Linked DNA regions of Oryzias latipes. The protein of the gene in region 1 interacts with the protein of each later gene in a biochemical or structural test. Links are inferred from orthologs where the notes say so. Each region holds a gene or a part of one and is shown in the gene's direction. Other genes may lie near its edges. The genes, in order: sp1, nr2f1 and psmc5.

Region 1 (3,757 bases):
TCTTCACATATGTCCTCCATCAAAGGAAAAATGTCACTAGAACATGTTAAAAACACCAAAAACATGATTTTTATCAGAGTGGATCTTTAAAATAGCCCTTTTCGCCCCTGAATTAAACATGACAAAGTTTACTTTTATTAAAATTTATCAACAGGTCTGTCCTACGTTATAACTGCTATATCAGTTCTTGCTGTTTCTTTGCCAATACTAAAAATGTGTTTACTACAGCAGGGGCTTTTGGTTGTAGTGGTGACACTGAGGGGTGGGTCCAAGCCTAAAGTTAAGAATGGATGGACTCCACCTTCTGGCCTGTTTACATGGACACATGTGCTGCTTCACTGACAGCCCTCTTTCGTACTAAGCGATGAAAGCCCTCCCCTACGAGAGGCGCTTTCCACTCCCAGCCATCTGTAGTCGGTGTCTGGAGGACGGTGGAGGTTTTTTTTCTCCACCCTGGCTGCCTTCTCCCGCCTCCTCCCTAGTGTTTACCAACCCATCCGCCACAAAAAGGAGTGGCCAGCGGCCACGGAGGCAAGACTCAAATCGACAGTCCTCCTTTTTCCCCACCTCCAGGTTTTAATTCAAGACACAAATCTAAGCACGATTTCTAAGTTTAAACATAAGACCTTCTTCGGAATTATACAAAGAAATCCGTGCGTATATATGTCAACATTTTAGAAACGCGGAAAACATAACCAATGTCAATTAGACTAAGGAGCGCAGCCTAACGTGGATGAACCCGCCCTATATCACCCACCTTTTCTCAAATTCCATTGGTTGGCTGACGGTAAGAGGCAGAGACATACGGTTTGATTGGTAGATTGAAGTAATCTTTCACAAGGCGCTTTTCTAGGGGGTGCGCTTGTTTTCTACGTTAATGGAATGACAGTAACACTAGATAATCAATTTATACATTTTTTAAATAAAATTTTGATTTAAAATAGTCTCACTTAGTAACTTTTCTAAACATTTTTTTTCTTGCAGGAAAAATAAACCTAGCTACAGTAAATTGTCTTATATTTTACATGTTAATGGATGCAACTATAAATTACCTTTACTCGTTTAACTTTTAAGAAAATCTCGGTTTAAGGGGCTCTATTTTCAATGTGTATTTAGTTTTTAAAACAAATATATTAATATAGTTAAAACGCACCTACTTTTAAAAATGTGTTCTCTTTCTATGACTACATAGAACAAAGATGGCGGGCTACAAAGGTACCTAAATTAAACGCACCTCTGTGCTTTCCTTCAAAGGGAAGGGGCTATCAAGTTTGTGTGAAGTTGTGAAAAGTTGTTAAGCAGAAAAAGAGCACAGAAACTCCTCCCGTCTTCAAATATGAGCAGTAAGTGAAGTTTTAAAACTCAGTGGTATGTTATGTATCTTTAGCTTGACAGAGTTTTTATTGTAGTAAGAACATTTTTTAAAACAAATAAGCAGCGGTAAACGCACAGTATTATATATCGAGTTGCCATAAACATGCAGTCAAAAAGTGGCCAGCAAACCTAACGACGTTAACGCTACTTGTTGGAACTTGGCTAACAACATTTAGCGAAACGGCAAAAAGTTGTTCGTAAGTGACACTAAAATCTGTGTACTTTCAGGACCAATCTGTATTCTTAGCCCATGTAGTCCGTTACATTTTAGAGATTAACTGAAGTCTCAAAGAGATTCAAGAGCGATTTCTTAGAACATCACTTGCCATTAGTTGATGTTAGCTTAGCTATTGAGCTAGCTTGCCCCGTGAGTACTTTGCCATTTATACATTTGCTTTTCTTGGAAAAGCCGCTACAAAAAGACAAAACAGACTTAGAGTTTTATATATATAAGACGTTTTATTTTTGTCCCGTCTGAGGTTTAAACTTGTGTTAAAGAGTCGCATTGTCTGAAACTCGTGTTTTGCTGTTTGTTGAAGTTGGGAATCTTGCAACTCTTCTTCCGCAGATCAGCAACAAGGTGAAATGGCCGCAGTGGAGAGTGGCGGAGGATTCTCTCAGAAGCGGAACACTAACTCACAAGTAGGTTTATCCTTCACTCGGACTGTTGATTTTAGTCAGTCTTGGCCTGGTTTGTTTTCGCTACTTGTTGAATTAGCTCGAAGGCGTTATTCGGGACCGGTTGTTTATTTCTCCCCAGAGCACATGTCACCGGGGTGGGGACTGGGCAGGTAAAAATCTCCCAGACTGGGTGTTCCCGTCAACCCCCGGCACTACAAGTGCGTTTTGTTCGGCCCATTTGGCATGCCTTTGAGGGGGTGGCCAGTGTGGTGCGCTGGTTTATAGGGCAACATAAAGTGTGGGAGGGAGAGGGGTGGGCTTGGGAGGAGGGGGAAGCCGAGCCCGCCACTACTCCTCTCAACTGTGGTCCCTCCCATACCCCACCTCAACCCCCACCTCCATCTGAAGCCCACTCCCTAAATCCTGCCATGAACACAGAGCAAATCCACCTATTTAATTCAATAATCCATATTTACATTGGTGTTTGTTTAGCATAAAATATGTTTACATCGTTTTCTTTTGTTAGACCTAAAGTCCTGTCAAGATTATTTTTTTTAACATATTATACAATCATTTGAAATCCCTACTGAAATATTTTTGACCTTTTTTTTTTGGTTTGCCATTGTGAATTTTTCAAGATTACACAAGAGCTGTAAATATCACACTTTTTTAATAGCAATCATTTAAATCAGTGGCCCCTGACCCCAGGACGCAGACCGGTACCAGTCCGTGGGATAGTTGGTACCGGCACATAGAGAAAGAAACTATGACCTACATTTTTGTTTTTGTTTTATTTATAATCTGATTTTGAAAGAAACTGTATTTATTCCGTGTAAAATTGTCAACACTTCCATAGCTCCATGCTGTTTTGCACATCTGACATGTTTAAATCTGTACATATCACTCTGCACATAATTGCATACATTTTTATTTTTGCACATTTCTTATTTTGCATATTTGCACACATTCTTGGTACACTCTGTGCATATTGACATTTTTACATTATACTTTGTTAGATTTGTTTTTTGCACTGTAATCGTGACTGCTGTAATTTCATTGTCCAAATGGACAATGACAATAAAGGCATATCTTATCCTATCTTTAAAAACAGAATTCTCCTCAACTGATCCGACTCGTTTTTGACGCATGTCAAGTCACTCTGTTACTTGTCGACAAACCATCTATTACTTTCTTAAACCAGTAGCATAGACCGCTAAGTTGAAACCCCCAAGACAGCAAAGTTAACAACAACAAAAAATGTATTTAAAAGATGTTTTTTTGTCTTTTTTTGGCAGAAAAAAAGACCCAGTGACTTCAGAGAAAAAGAAAGTTGTATTTAACAGACAAAAACCAGTAGTCTGTACTCAAAATACGGATTTATCTACAGTAGTTCCCAAACACCATGATAATAATCTTTTTTTTCATCTTTTAATACGTGTTTAAGTAATGTTATTTTATTTTTTAATCTGTTGCACTTTAAAAGTTGGACAAGACTGAAGTTGGTGCCAATTTTTTAGCTTCCACTTTAACATTTATGAGTTTAGGGGAAATTTGTCACATTTGAATGATTCTAGTTTACAAATAAAATTTCAATCCTCTGCAGATATTTTACAGAGAATGAAAATAAACTTTACAATCAAAAGTTAAGGGAAACTGAAAACTTAAAAAAATGTGGACTTTTACCTCAGCCTTGTCTGACATTAAACAGTCAGTGGCCTGAAAAGGGTTAAGGACTACCTACTAAAATATTTTATTTCACTGT
Region 2 (3,757 bases), on another chromosome or scaffold:
AAATGATTTTTTTTTTTTGGAAAAGCTTGTTTTAATATCAGATTTTAAGCTTTTAAAAATGCATGTCGGAAAACTTGCATATGAAGTTGTAATTGAACATTGTACGCTAGATGGCAGCGCGATCCAGACATTTTTGAGTAGGAGAGGTATAGTCAGCTTGCAGAAACCCTGATACAAAAAGGCGGAATCCCCATGCAAATCCCCCGTAACTTCATTTCATTTTGAATTACTGTCAATATTAGGACACAACGTGCCACCGTCTGCAGTCTATAGGACTTTAGAAATAATCCAAAACAGCTTATCTTGTTAGAGATGTTCGGCTCATTTGCAAGACCCGCCGTTTGTACAGTACAAATGTGCATTATTTTTTCCTGTGATATTTTTTTTCTTTATGTTATGTTAAATCTAAACTAAATGGTAAGTTTTAATGAGCAGAACTGTGCCATTCACAGACGGCGGTGTGTACCGCAATGCGCACGCCAAGGACAAAACAGCGTGTGAACAGAAGAAATCAATTTGAACCAAAAAGAAGATGTCACTTATTCCTAAAATAAAGACAACAGTTCCACACAGACTGGTCCGAAACTTTGGGCAATATCTGAGGCAGAGTGGTGTTTCGCTGCTTTTCGTTTATTTGTCAAGCGTAAAAGCTTTGTCCTCTCTTGCCTTTACCCCGCTTTTTTCTTCTTTTTTCGCTATTCTATCCAGGGTTTCTTCCTCTTTTTGGTGACAATAGACGGCCCATACTAATCAGGTTTCAAAGTAAATAGCAGCGCGGGGCGAGCTCAATGTAAATTGCGCCTGTCAGAGCACCCCCCATACACACACACACACTCACACCGCCGCCCCCCTTCCCTTCCCTCCCTCTCTCCATTCCCCCCAGCCCCTCCAGCCGTAGATGGCAGCGCTGTAAAAAATATCCACGCCTCAAACGGCGCTCAGTGCAGCGCCGAGGCTTGGTATCACAAGGCGGACACAAGCTTCCATTTCGACGCGTAATGCCTTTCCTGGATCCCGACACCAGTCGATCCATCATGCGCCTTTACGCAGCCTATGTATTTCCAACAGAAATCCCCCCACCCCCCCATCTCTGGACTCCGATATATTGGCGTAAAAAACATTCTCCAACTGTAAACACAAGGAGGTGTATTTCAAACCCAGATGCACGGTTCCTGCTGTATTTTACGAATAAAATCACATTTTCACATCCGAACACGAGACTGGATGACTTCTGAGATGGTCACTTTTTGCAGTGGATAAGCGGAGGGGGATTCTAACCAATAGAGAAACAGAGAGGGCTTGGCTATAACCTCAGCCTCCCATTTTCTCTCTCCCTCTGTCCCCCCTCTCCTCCTCTCCTCCTCCTCTATGCAGGGCTCTGGCCAGTCAGTCGCCTTTGATTATCAGTCTCCAGCAGCCCCTCTCTTGGCTCCTTGACATGAGCACCATATAAGGCGCAGCGATCTCCATAGAAACGTGTCAGTTTCAATAGTAGTGTCAAAGTTCACTATATACAGACATTCGCGCAGATCCCCCGTTTCGGAAACATTGCTCTGCTGGTCCTCCCGTTTAAGCGCATTCATTTTTTGGGTCTCTCCTTCGTCTTGCATATTCTATTAGTATTTGGTGTTTTTGCTCTTCTTTTTTTACATTTTCTTCTTCGTATCCATTCCTCCTGCTGGAGAGGAGTGAAACTATACATGGGCACTTCTTTCGGCGACGCGATTTTCTTCCGCTGCTGGGCGAGATGACGAGCCTTATTTAAGAATATATAGATGTAAAAAAAAATCCAGCTCTTCAGTTTTTTCCTGCCCTCCTGCGCGACGAAGACGGGAGTGTAAAGGAGCAAGAGGAGGAAGAGGAGAAAGGAATTTATCTCCGCTGCACTTTGGATCGCATTTCTTTCCAACAAGGTTTTCTTTTTTTTTCTTCTTTTTTTTCTTCTTCTTCTTTTTTGTACTTGTTCCTGCGTCTACGTGAATCCTGCCTTTCCTCTGTGGCTATTCAGCATCTAACTGCAATTTGTTACGTCTGGACTCTGGTTTTCCTACAAGATTAGGGATTCCTGAATGGCTGACTGCAATTTACCTTGGAACTGGCCTCCCGACACTTGCAAATCCTGATCGGGTGCCTCTCCAGTCGCCCTCCTGCTTTTGAATGTATTGATCGCCGTTTTTTTTAACCCCATATGAGATTGCGTGCACCGATTTGACTTTGCACTGCCCCGTCTTTTGAGATCTCTTTTTTTTTCTCCCCTCTGCGCTATATCTACATCAGCGACCATTTCGCTTTATAGCACTTTCCGTGGCCGAGATATGGCAATGGTAGTTAGCGTCTGGCGAGATCCGCAGGAAGACGTGGCCGGAGGACCTCCGAACGGCCCCAACCCAGCAGCGCAGCCGGCGAGGGAGCAGCAGCAAGCGGCGTCGGCGGCGCCGCACACTCCGCAGACCCCCAGCCAGCCGGGACCCCCGTCCACGCCGGGGACCGCCGGGGACAAGGGGAGTCAGAATTCTGGACAAAGTCAGCAGCATATTGAATGTGTGGTTTGCGGAGACAAATCGAGCGGCAAACACTACGGCCAGTTCACCTGCGAGGGATGCAAAAGTTTCTTCAAGAGGAGTGTACGGAGGAACTTAACCTACTCATGTCGTGCCAATAGGAACTGTCCCATTGACCAGCACCACCGAAATCAGTGCCAATACTGCCGGCTGAAGAAGTGTTTAAAAGTGGGAATGCGGCGGGAAGGTGAATATTTAAGCTTACTCTTTAGTGCAGACACGCAGGGCTGCCATGTTGCATTAAGGTCAGAGGCGCTCTCTAGCCGGGCGTGCACTGCAGACTCCTTTTTGATCCATGTTTACATGAAGGCTTTTTATTTTATTTTTGGTGGTAGTGGAGGGGGGGGGGGTATAGTGTGCAGCAGCAGCAGTGATGCTCATGGAGGCAGGCCGTCTGAACAAAGCGTCTCGTCCAGCTGACCTTTGTTTTTAAATGTTCTAGTTTAGCCTGTTTGATATGCAGGTTATGGCGCAGAATCGTGAATTATCCTTACATGTGAACATGTCGGAGAGTGTGTGTGCGCGTGAGTGTTTGTAAGAGGTGGGCTTGTGTGCGTGTAGTTGTGTGTGTGTGTGTGTGTGTGTGTGTGTGTGTGTGTGTGTGTGTGTGTGTGTGTGAGAGAGAGAGAAAGAGAGGGAGAGAGAGAGGCTAATGGTCCCATCCCTAGCAGTCCCTTAAGCACAGGCTTACACATTTCTAAATGTACAGCAGGATTTGGATCCTGGCTGCGTCATCGTGGAAAACGGCCATTCGCCAAATCCACGTCTCCTCCTGCTCAGACACACCGAATCCTGCCGCTGAACTTGCCCATGGCTCATTGTTGTGCTCACTGCTGCATTAACAGGCCGTACAACTTTCATAGCCACGTCAAGTGTTTGATTCCAATTGATGCAGACATCCCTCAGTTAAGTCTATTATTTGCAGAGAACACTATAATCCCGCGTATAATATGCGCTGAATCACCTTCATATTTTCTTTTTGAATCCAAAAAGGACAAAAAAAACGCGGATTGGATTGCTTTGATTCGCAGCTGACCTTTTGATCTGAACAAAATGTGCATTTGTGGCTGCATTTAATGCCAATTATCAATCGCATTTGTGGCATTTATGGACACAGTTTGTAATAATTCTAATAAGCACAATTGCGCGTAAATTTAGAGCAGGAACACAAGCTCGACTGCTGACCTATTGTAATA
Region 3 (2,707 bases), on another chromosome or scaffold:
AGTAGGTGTAACTTTGGTGCTGCTGTTAGATCTGCACTGCAAGGGATTATGGGATACCATTCCCTTTGCCTGTCTGGACGGATTTGGGTTTAAGTGTGGCTTTTTGACCAAATGTGTTTAGTTGTTTAGCTGTTTTACCGAGTCATTTTGTCCTACTATGCTTGCGTCTCTGCACCATGAGTGAGAGTGAAGGAGAGGATGATGAGTTTAAATAGCACCCCTACCGTTTACTGCTGTGATAACAATGACGGAAAATTCTTTAACGAAATTCTGCACTCTGTGCAGTTTTTCCCCGTCCTTTTTGTTGTTACAAAAATGAGCATATCTGCCGGCTCATACATATGAGAGATCAAGAAATATAATTAAGATCGAAAAATATTAATTGAATCGGAGTAATGACATTTAGTTAGATAAATACATAAATTTGAGTTGTATAAACAATTATTGAGTTTTATGGACGTAAGAAATTAGGTTGAATAAATTTAACTCAATTTTTTGTTACCAATAGAAGTAATTCATTTAAGTTGGCAAAATTGGATAAGTTATATACATATATGCGTCACAAGGAAAATGGAAACAAGATCAGAAACTCTTGCGTTTACTTTGTCATTTTTCTCCAAGCAGAAACTCTTTTTGCTGATGCAGCCGTATTACTTTTTTGATGGACGTATAATCTTCATACGCCGTCATTAAAATCTCAGACTCCGTCTCACTGGTATATACCTTTTTTTGTTTTTTCTCCACGCGTTTCCATGGTGACTCCAGAAATCGGCGATCTATTGAGAATGTCTTTATGTACTTGGCGAGCACGTGCATAAAGCCAGGGTCACCAAGTCAAGCGTAATTACGCCAAGTCATATCCGGTCTTTTGGAACCGACATACCCCGAGTTAGCGAGTTCAGGCGGATTTCAGCCAGAGTTCAGGCTTAAAGTCAGGCTAGTTTAAACATGCTTCCTGGAATACCTGGTGTTTGGTTTACTGATGTTTAAAGGTTTCACTGTGTTTGCACAGTAATATTTGCAAACGTAGCTTTAAAAACATTCATGTAACAAATATCCTAAAAATATAATAAAATGAATAAACAATTTATTTTATTTGGTTTTTTTTAATAAACTGGTACAACTTCATTTAAAAATCTCTTAAGTTATATTGTTAGGGGAAAACATTTATTGTAAAAGGCTCACCAAAAGATGGTAATAAACATTTACACTTTAATTTACAGAGTTTAGTTTTCCTTAATAAGGTCATTGTATAATTCTAGTGCTGGACGGTATTTTTTTCCTGATTTAGTAAAGTGAAATGCGTCATTTACACCAGTAAATGCTGCTGAAACCTTTTAAATTGAGAAGATTTGTACTTCACTGGAATTTGTTCTTCTCGTCTGCAGGTCATCATGGCCACCAACCGGATCGACATTCTGGACTCGGCTTTGCTCCGGCCAGGAAGGATTGACAGGAAGATTGAGTTTCCCCCTCCCAATGAAGAGGTAACCAGCTGCTGTCGCTGCGTCACACTTGCTGGTTCAAAGCTTAATGACCACATTGAAACCCTCTGCTCCACCAGGCCCGTCTGGACATCCTGAAGATTCACTCGAGGAAGATGAATCTGACACGCGGCATTAATTTAAGGAAGATTGCAGAGTTGATGCCTGGAGCTTCTGGGGCTGAGGTCAAGGTATGAAGGTTTTTTTTTCCCCTTTCCTTTACAGTATTTCACAGATCTGCTTCATTAAACTTTGAATTTGTGTGCTGTAGGGAGTTTGCACAGAGGCTGGAATGTACGCTCTGAGAGAGCGCAGAGTTCATGTCACTCAGGAGGATTTTGAGATGGCCGTGGCAAAGGTTAGTATCGCAGTTGTCAGGTGTAAAAATCAAGGCTGTTTTCTGAACTCATGAACCTTTTCCTCTGTTCTCTGAACCAGGTGATGCAGAAGGACAGTGAGAAGAACATGTCTATCAAGAAGCTGTGGAAATAAGATTGCAGCTGCATATGTACATTTTCCTTGTTTATGGTTTGTAACAAGTCAATAAAAACTTTTTCCCCCCCTAATATGTTTGAGGAATTGGCTTTAAAAGTAGTCAAACTTAGATGTGCATGTGTATTTATTGTATGGCACTTGACATCCACAGGCCTCTAACACAACACAGAGCCGTTACATTACATATAGACACCGGCACAGTATCTGCTGTGATCATGTTTTGGTCGCTCTTTTGGAATGATGGCACCGCTCAGCTGATGACGTGAAAAAATTACTGGAACGGAGGTTTTCAACCTCCTGCTGCTATCGCCTCACCCAGCTCACAGGAACCCACTGTGGGTCCGTCTGAGCTCTTTCCAGGGCTCTCTGGAGTTCTGCCACAGCACTGCTTAGATCTTCTTTCACCAAGACATAGTCCACCCAGTGACCGTAGCACTCCTCCATCCGCTCCGCAGACTGGCTCATTTCCACAAGATCCTCCTCCTAATGAAAGACGACGTGACAGACACTGGTGACAACTGTCTGAAAGCACTTTTCCACATCTTTGGTTATAATACTAGGGGTGTCCTGATCAGATGTTGCTCAGTCAATTAATGTTGAGAATCTTCAAAAAAAAAAACAAGAAGATTGTCCCTTATTTTTATGAGCTATCATTTTAAAAGATATACTTTAATTATCCTGAAGGAAATTGTTGGGTCTGTTGATCCCACACACAAGATAAGACACCA

Evidence for each region.
Region 2: the proteins of sp1 (region 1) and nr2f1 form a complex in vitro, tested with the Homo sapiens proteins (2 studies listed by BioGRID). The link is inferred for Oryzias latipes from reciprocal best matches to the Homo sapiens genes SP1 and NR2F1.
Region 3: the proteins of sp1 (region 1) and psmc5 form a complex in vitro, tested with the Homo sapiens proteins (2 studies listed by BioGRID). The link is inferred for Oryzias latipes from reciprocal best matches to the Homo sapiens genes SP1 and PSMC5.

Annotation. Positions count from the first base shown.
Region 1 is NC_019863.2:10,447,749-10,451,505, reverse strand, and holds the start of sp1 (transcription factor Sp1), read left to right. Parts: upstream 1-1,239; 5' UTR 1,240-1,336; coding exon 1,337-1,343; intron 1,344-1,942; coding exon 1,943-2,016; intron 2,017-3,757. UniProt on the Homo sapiens protein: Transcription factor that can activate or repress transcription in response to physiological and pathological stimuli.
Region 2 is NC_019867.2:15,617,070-15,620,826, forward strand, and holds the start of nr2f1 (COUP transcription factor 1), read left to right. Parts: upstream 1-1,365; 5' UTR 1,366-2,315; coding exon 2,316-2,748; intron 2,749-3,757. UniProt on the Homo sapiens protein: Coup (chicken ovalbumin upstream promoter) transcription factor binds to the ovalbumin promoter and, in conjunction with another protein (S300-II) stimulates initiation of transcription. Binds to both direct repeats and palindromes of the 5'-AGGTCA-3' motif.
Region 3 is NC_019877.2:6,904,921-6,907,627, reverse strand, and holds the end of psmc5 (26S proteasome regulatory subunit 8), read left to right. Parts: intron 1-1,388; coding exon 1,389-1,487; intron 1,488-1,564; coding exon 1,565-1,675; intron 1,676-1,755; coding exon 1,756-1,842; intron 1,843-1,922; coding exon 1,923-1,976; 3' UTR 1,977-2,050; downstream 2,051-2,707. Other genes in the region: MAGUK p55 subfamily member 3, read right to left, coding at 2,283-2,462.